Sus scrofa: one gene and its partner. The protein of the gene in region 2 interacts with the protein of the main gene of each other region in a pairwise test. Links are inferred from orthologs where the notes say so. Each region holds a gene or a part of one and is shown on either strand. Other genes may lie near its edges. The genes, in order: RPS26 and TSR2.

What was found.
Region 1: the proteins of TSR2 (region 2) and RPS26 interact in binary tests that used the Homo sapiens proteins (3 or more experiments, as listed by UniProt). The two-hybrid records come from large-scale screens. The link is inferred for Sus scrofa from reciprocal best matches to the Homo sapiens genes TSR2 and RPS26.

Annotation. Positions count from the first base shown.
Region 1 is NC_010447.5:21,430,348-21,434,324, reverse strand, and holds RPS26 (40S ribosomal protein S26), read right to left. Parts: upstream 2,670-3,977; 5' UTR 2,646-2,669; coding exon 2,643-2,645; intron 2,383-2,642; coding exon 2,205-2,382; intron 1,106-2,204; coding exon 975-1,105; intron 740-974; coding exon 704-739; 3' UTR 634-703; downstream 1-633.
Region 2 is NC_010461.5:47,185,280-47,189,713, reverse strand, and holds the start of TSR2 (pre-rRNA-processing protein TSR2 homolog), read right to left. Parts: upstream 3,105-4,434; 5' UTR 2,628-3,104; coding exon 2,544-2,627; intron 2,378-2,543; coding exon 2,287-2,377; intron 1-2,286. UniProt on the Homo sapiens protein: May be involved in 20S pre-rRNA processing.

The DNA of each region.
Region 1 (3,977 bases), on a different chromosome or scaffold from region 2:
TTCTGGGACAAATGAACCATTGCTGTAAAGGTCACATTAGGTACAACCCTTCCTCACATTGTGGGGGAAATATCTTCTTGTGGGACCCCCCCCAAGTTTCTAGAATACCTGGTGTCCTGGGCTTTTTTACTTGATAGAGAAAATCACTGCAGAAAGATGAAGGTTGGGTGAGAACTGGCTAACCAGCAAACCAATTCAAGGCAAAGAGGTGAATTAACGAAGTTAAGGATCTGGAATCAGATCCCATGAAGCTATTCAGGCCATAAACTTCCATTAAAGCCTTGTGTCCCCCACTAAAGATACTCACACCTAGATCAGTCTAAATTGCTTCCTGATGAGTTCCTCACAAAACTCCTTATCCTGTTCTTAGAACACCAGTTTACGCCAACATGCCAGGTTGAATTAACCTAATACAGATGCTTTAACTCCTCTCCCCCATAGCTATGCAAATTGGGGAGGTCAAAGACAGAAATGTAAGAGAAACACAGGAGTTGAGGTTTAACTTACATAACCACCCTGGCCTCCATGAAAAAGACTATGTGACACTCCAGAGTTCAATATGTGGTGAAGTTACAGTTCCTGTAACATACACAACCCCCATTATATCTGGCAACACACACTCAACATGCCATATTAAGTATAGTCTCCATTTTATTGTCTTTTTAAAGGATAGAATTCCTTCAGTCTCTAAGAACTCAGTTCCTTACATGGGCTTTGGTGGAGGTCGTGGGGCAGCACCCTGAAAGACAAAAAAAATGGAACAGTAAATTAAAGAGTCTCCCTTAAAGAACTTGACCACTGCCCTCCTACCACTAACAATGTATCTGGGCCATAAATGCATGGAAAACCAACACACATCAAAGATTACGCTACTCAATCTGAACCAGATTCTAACCACTTTTGATATTCCTTGAGTCCTCGTATGTGTCTTTCCCCCATCACCCCTCTGGCTCCCACACCTTTTACATACTCACCGCAGGTCTAAATCGGGGTGGAGGTGTTCTATCCTTCCGGGCTTCACGAGAACGATTCCTGACTACCTTGCTGTGAATGGCACAACTCACGCAATAATGTAGTTTCACATACAGCTTGGGAAGCACATAGGCTAAGAAACAGAAAATTTAGAGGTATGATATCATGTATTGCACACCCACCTCACGCAGTTCTTTCTTGTTCATTCTATCAGGCAAAAGTAAACATACCCAGGAGTTCCCTGGTGGCCCCGCAGGTTAGGGACCTGGAATTGTCACTGCTATGGTGCAGGTTCAACCCCTGGCCTGGGAAGTTCTCAAGTTCGGTCATTTTTGGGGGGGGGGGGGAGTAAACAGGAGTTCCCGTCGTGGCTCAGTGATTAACGAATCCGACTAGGAACCATAAGGTTGAAGGTTCGATCCCTGCCCCCTCTCAGCGGGTTAACGATCCGGTGTTGCCGTGAGCTGTGGTGTAGGTTGCAGAAGCGGCTTGCATCCCGTGTTGCTGTGGCTCTGGCGAAGGCTGGCAGCTACAGCTCTGATTCGACCCCTAGCCTCCATACACCGCAGGAGCAGCCCAAGAAATGGCAAAGAAACAAAAACAAAAAAGTAAACAAACTCATTTAGGCATATCTACAAGATTTCACTCCAAAGAGCTACTATTCACTTTCTGACACCTAAAAACATAGTTTCACGAATAAACACCCCCTTACTAACCCATCCTGTCATCATGGGAATCAAATTCACACCACAGATGTTATACCACCAAGAATCTAGTTTCTTCAACAATCACATCAGCCCTAACACCGTCCAGGGCCCCCGCCTAAAAAAGCTCACTGTCTCTAAAAAGAAAAACGATTAAAACAACATCATATTGCTCCAAAGATCACCCTCGTGAACCTAAGTAGACATGCTTCCTTTCTTAAATGACTCAGTGAGCACTACCACAAAAAGGCTCCCTCCCCAGACACAGCTCAAAGTGGCAAACGCAGCAAAGATTCAATTCTCTTCTACCGACAACCTTAAAAACACAAGGAGATTGCTCGGACACTACTACGACAAAGCCTGTGCACCGCACGGGTTGGCGGGGAGAGGTGGTTTTAGGTCTTAAAGTATGTATGTACAGCTTTCGGCCTCATGTGGAAGTTCCTCGGCCAGGGATCGAATACGCGCCACAAAAAAATTACACTTCTTAAATATTAAGATACCGATTCGCCCCGGGAGCTCACTCACCATCGAAAACGCTCGCTTCGGAAATGTCCCTGACCGCCGCGGCCTCTACAATGTTCCGAATAACGAACTTCTTAATGGCCTTATCCTTGGGCACGCATCGGGCACAGTTGGTGCAGCGAATAGGCTGCACGTGGCCGCGGCCCTTTTTGGCACGGCCATTATTCCTTCTTTTCTTGGTCTGCATCAGGATGAAAACACCATTAAGAAGGGCTCGCAACTTACCCAGCCTTAGACCCCTTCCGGCCACATTTCCCGCCGGCAACCACCAGAAGAGCCACTCAGATCTCCAGTCCCTCCGCAAACCCCCCCAAGCCTGGAACAAACATATGCTCTTTCCATTCCTTCACCGTAGTCCAGGTTTTAAAACCCCCACAATCTCATCTGGCTCACACTCAGCCTTCACCCGGCCCCAATCGTTCACCACGCGCCATAACTCACCATCTTGGAAGCGAAGACGCGAGAGAGGAAGTGGCCAACGGCTCGGCTCTCTTATATAGTGCGAGATCCCTCCGCTCACGCCGAGGGATTCCTCCTAGACGGCTCCTGGACGCACGCCAAGGACGGCAATCACCTTTATTCAAATGTTATTTATTATTCAGCGTTTCTGCTGAAATCTATGGTAGAAAGGTGTTTCTCGAGTTTATTTTTCCGTGGCACAAAGTGACCAAGGGACTATTTAACCTGCTGGCGGAAGAAAATTACGGTTATGTGTTTCCCAGCAACCTTTGCAACACCTTACCCCGGACGTAATTCTGGGCATTTATCTGTATTTTGCGACGCAAGGCGGGGAAGTTGCCCGGCGCAAGACCGCTTGTCACACTGCCTATTAGAGGTCGGAGGGGAAGAGATGCATGGTGGGAGTTGTAGTGCGGAGTTGGCAGTCCCCAGGCCCCAAGCCCTTAAACGGAAGGCGACATCACTCCACCGGCCACTGGGGGACGCTCTCTGCTCGTTTCTTTGGTGCATGACAGAAAAGGAAGATGTTGGGGGCGGGAGGCTGGGGGAAGAATAAAACATGTTATTAGTTCCTCCTTCTAATACTGAGAAAACCCAGCAGGGAGGAGTCATGGACAAGTGCATCGGTGCTAGGGCTATTTCTCATTCACCTTTTTGTTCCTGGATCTTGCAAACATAGTGCCAGGCACTGTAGTAAGCACTGTATAAATATTAACTCAGTTAACCCTCAACAAGTCTACAAGGAAGCTTCTAATATTATCCTTACATTACATGGGAATTCCCTAGAGGTTCAGGGATCCCACGACAGATTGAAAAACTGAGGAGTAGAGAGGTTAAAACTGAGGTTGCCCAAAGTTACAGGGAGCTAGTAAGAGGTTTCTTGGCTCCACTGTACTATGCTTTCTCTTACCTAAGAAACAAATAAGTGGATGGAGGTATAAGTTGGACTGGTGACCTAAATGATTTGACTTACACTCCTAGTAAAAATATATTTTACTTTGGTACTCAATACATATACAAATACAAATACACACACACACACACAAAACTGAAACAAAAATTTCATGAAACAAAGCCCTTATGACATAAGGTGCGCTGGTATTTTCTATTTTATTTTAATAAGTGTTCATCAATTCCCATTAAGGTGATTTCACCACTCATTGATGACTCTGGCCTCCTATTGAAATGTACCTTGTTATTTATGTTTAAGTTCCATTTACCTCTTTTTTTTTTTTCTTTCTTTCTTTTTTTTTTTCTTTTTAGGGCTGCACCCAAGGCATATGGAAGTTCCCAGGATGGGGTTGAATCAGAGCTGCA
Region 2 (4,434 bases):
ATTGTGGCTTCGCCAAACAGGAGGCCAGAGACCAATGGGTTAGGTAAGAAGAGATGGACGTTGAGTACTTCAAGATGAAATCATCACAGCCTTGGCACCAACATGCTATCATGTGACTTTGGCAGAGCCCTCCTCTCTCGGCTTCAGTCACGTTATGGTCCTATACTCTACTTTTTCTGAATTATAGAATAACTCAAGAAAGTCTTCCACAAAGCTCCTTGCTCTCTCTTCCCTCTGGGAGAGCTCCATTCGCCTCCTTGGCTTTCCCTACCACTCGAATATCCCCCAAATTTGTCTCCAATCCACACTACTCTCCACCTATTTAGAGGGTGCCTCAGACCCTCCTTTCCCAAAGCCAGATTCATCACCTTACCTTCCAAACCTACTTCTCAATCCTCCAGGGTTCTCCTATTCCATAAAAGGTATCTGAGCCACGCAACGACTCAAACCAGAAACCTGCCTCATGCCCCCCCCCACTCCTCTACAGCCAAACAATTTCCAAGATTCTAATCCACCCCTTCTTTTCCGTAACTATTGCCACTGCCTCATCATCTTCAAGACAGAAACAGTCTTCTCATCAGTTGTTCCCTCTCCAGTCCAAGCTCCATACTGACTACTTTTTTTTTTTTTTTTTTTTGTCTTTTTGCCTTTTCTTGGGCCGCTCCCACGGCATATGGAGGTTCCCAGGCTAGGGGTCGAATCGGAGCTGTAAACACTGGCCTACGCCAGAGCCACAGCAACTCGGGATCCGAGCTGTGTCTGCAACCTACACCACAGCTCACGGCAACGCCGGATTGTTAACCCACTGAGCAAGGGCAGGGACCGAACCCGCAACCTCATGGTTCCTAGTCGGATTTGTTAACCACTGCGCCACGACGGGAACCCCATACTGGCTACTTTCTATAGCCAGTAAACCCCATCCTATTAAATCCTGCTCATGAAGTTTTATCTCCTACTGCAGTGTTTCATATTCTGCTTATAAGACGTAACTGTCCTGCTGGACTTTAAGGGAAGCTATTCATAGAAAAATCATGGTAAACAAGTTTCTTTTTGGTGGTTCTTATCAGAACCTTTAATATGATAATGATTATGGTGACTCTTAAGAGCTGAAGAGCTTTTTTTATATCATGTGACTGGAGAAGTGGTTTCTTCACTGAACACCTAAAAAGAACTAGTCTTCCATAGCATATATTTTTGACAAATGCTGGCCTAAAGGATAAAATCAAAGGCCCACAAATCCTTCCATGTTTCACCCTTTTCCAGGGGCCTCCCCAACCAACCTCCAGCCTCATTCTCTATCACTCCCCCCTCCCACACCCCCACAAGCACACCATACAGCCCTACTCTAACACTGAGCTCCCTGCCACTTTCCAAATATAACACATAATCTCCTCATACCACAGAACTTATTTTTGAGTGTTGCTCTGCCTCTCCCACCTAGTTAACTCCTTCTCATCCCTTAAAACTCACCCAAAAGCCACCTTACCCTAACAATCTCCAAAAGAAGCCTCTTCCTCAGTCTCACATTACCCAAGCACCCTGAGATCTTTATTAGAACACCTACCACCCTGTGAGTAAAAACCTATTTACTTATCTAGATCCCTCACCAAATAATAAATTTTTTTCAGAGAAAGGTCTCTGCCTAATGCCATCTCCAAGGCCAAGAAAACTAAGTGAATAATTTAAAAAAAATCATACTTCACAAAAGATCACCTAAAGGGCCCCTATTCTTATAGAACCTACAAGACACATCAAAGGTGTAGATCTCTGCTGTCCAAATAATCAAATGTGGTTACTGAGCACTTAAAATGTGGCTAGGCCAAGACAAATTGGGATGTGATAAAACTGCAAAACACCCACCAGATTTTGAAAACTTAATACTAAAAAAAAATGTAATACATCTCGTTAATAATGTTTTATATTGATTACATGTTGAAATACTTTGGATATATTGAGTTGAACAATATTCATTTCACCTGCTTTTTATATCAAAGTGGTTGCTGAAAAATTTTTAATTACATGATGTGACTGGCATTATATTTCGATTTGGACAGCGCTGGTGGATACTTTCATATCCATGTTACAAATTAGGAAACTGAGTCTCAGGGGAGTAAAACGACATATCCAACGCGATACAAGGAGTCAATGGCATGGCCCTAAGGCACTCGAACTCAGGATTCAGACTCTGGTATCAGCAGACAATTGTTCAAGAGGAAGTGCAGATTCACCAAGACCGCCCTCCTCCCCGCGCCCCTAAACAAGTCCTAGGGCCTTAAATTCACTCACCATTGCGGAAGAAATACTCCTCCACTGCACCCCCTAGCCACTCAGCCTTCTCCTGGCTATGCACACCTCCAAAGCCGTTCTCCACAGCGATCTGCGAACACAGGCCCGAGCCCACCACGTCAGCCCAGGAACCGGCCTGCGGTGGCGCAAGGGTCCGCTTCTGACGCCGCCCAACCAACTAAGCCTTGGGCAGCTCACCGGCCAACTCCTGTTCTGGCCCGGTCCCTAACCTTTGTTCCAGCTGTGTCCTCGCTCACCTGCAAGGCGGGCCAAGCCTCCAACGCTGCGCGGATGCCAGCCCGGAAAAGCGTTAGAGACTCCTCTGCAGCGCCCGCCATCATCCTGCTGCGGACCACGTGACGCCCAAGCAGGCCAATCCCTGCGCAGCACCGCCCAGGCAGAAGGAGTAGGAAGCCAAGCTTGAGAACGCAGATTCTCCCTTTCCGCTGATCTGGCAGCAAGACTAGAGCAATAGAAAAGTCTGTCGAGTAATCGATGACACCGCCCGGGTTACTCAAGAAGTGGAAGACGCTTGGGGCCGAGAGTTCCGGACCCGTGGGTATTGCGCAGAAAAGATGTGAGGAACTTATTAAAGATAAAGGACAGAGGAAGCAACCTCAGGTAGCATAGCCTAAAAGTCTGCATTTAGAAATGCATCCTAGGAGTTCCATCTGTGGCTCAGCGGGTTAAGACCCCGACTCATCTCCATGAGGATGCGGCTTCAAGCCCTGGCTTCGCTCAGTGGGTTAAAGGATCTGGCGTTGCCGTGAGCTAAGGTGTAGGTCTCAGGCACAGTTTGGATACGGCGTTGCAGCTGCAACTCCAATTCGACCCCTAGCGGGGGAACCTCCATATGGTGTAGGTGTGGCCCTAAAAAATAAATTAATTGATTGATTAAATAAAATAAAAAAGAAATAAATAACAGAAAGACATTTGTGAAATTCACAAATAGGTGGGAATTAGTACACTTCTAAATAACTAATGGGTCAAAGAAAAAAAAATCGGAAGACGTCTTGAAATGACTTGAAACTAAAGCAGGGCAAGGACCAAAATTATGATCAGTGCTCAGGGTGAATCCACACTTTGAAGGGCCTGAGGCAGATAGAATTTTGTAAGCCCTCTTTAAGAAAAATAGTACAAATTTAGGTGTGCAAGTAAGTATAGCTTTAGATTTATAAAAGAAATTTTTAAATTTACAAATTCCAATTTTTTTTGGGGGGGGGAACATGCCTGTGACATGTGTTAGTTCCCAGGCTAGGGATCCAGCTGGCACCACAGCAGTAACCAGAGCCACAGCATTAACAATGCTGATCCTTAACCCACTGAGCCACTAGGGAATTCCTACAAATTCCAATTAAAAAAACCTGACAAATACCACAAACATCCTCAAAACTAGAGAAATAAAATAATTGCCTGACTCACCTCTCTACTAATTTTTCCTTTATTTTTTATTTTATTATTTTTTTTTGGCTGCCAACATTTTGATATCTTCCTGTAAATAAATAGGACAATTATTTTATAATAACATTTTCAAGAGAGAATAAAAAGAATTCAATTGCATTCAGTTGATCAAAATTTTTTATTATTGTAGTTTAGAAAAGTTTCAACTTCACAGCTCATTGTTAGTAGAATAAAATTTAAGATTGTGTTAAATTTGGGGAAACCTCTAGTTTCTTTTACATGTGAGCTATAAAATTTTATGGTACTTTGTTTTTGTGCAGCAATAATTGTCTCAAATTGACAATGCTCAACAACCAGGGGCTTGGAAGTGTCTTGTGTAAGTGTGAGTTACTAGAGGCTTAAACTTTTAGTTATATTATTTCTGTGATAAATCCATCTCTATGCAATGCTAGAGGAGAAAGGAGCACAGGAAGCTATGGGAGTCCAGCAGAGGGGGTTTCTGATCCAGCCTTGGGAATTATGGCAAATCTCTCAGAGATAATGCCTCTGACTTAAAAGTTTGAGTGGAATTTTCCCAGGGGATGAGGAGTTTGTGTATTTGAGGATAGAGGTATGTTTCTAAAAGAAAGAAAGTCTTTCATGCTGAGGAAACAATCTATACAAAGAAAAAGAATCAGGAAACAACATGCTGTTTGATGATAATTACAAGCATTCCCAGACTGATAATCTCAGGAGGCATAAACTCCT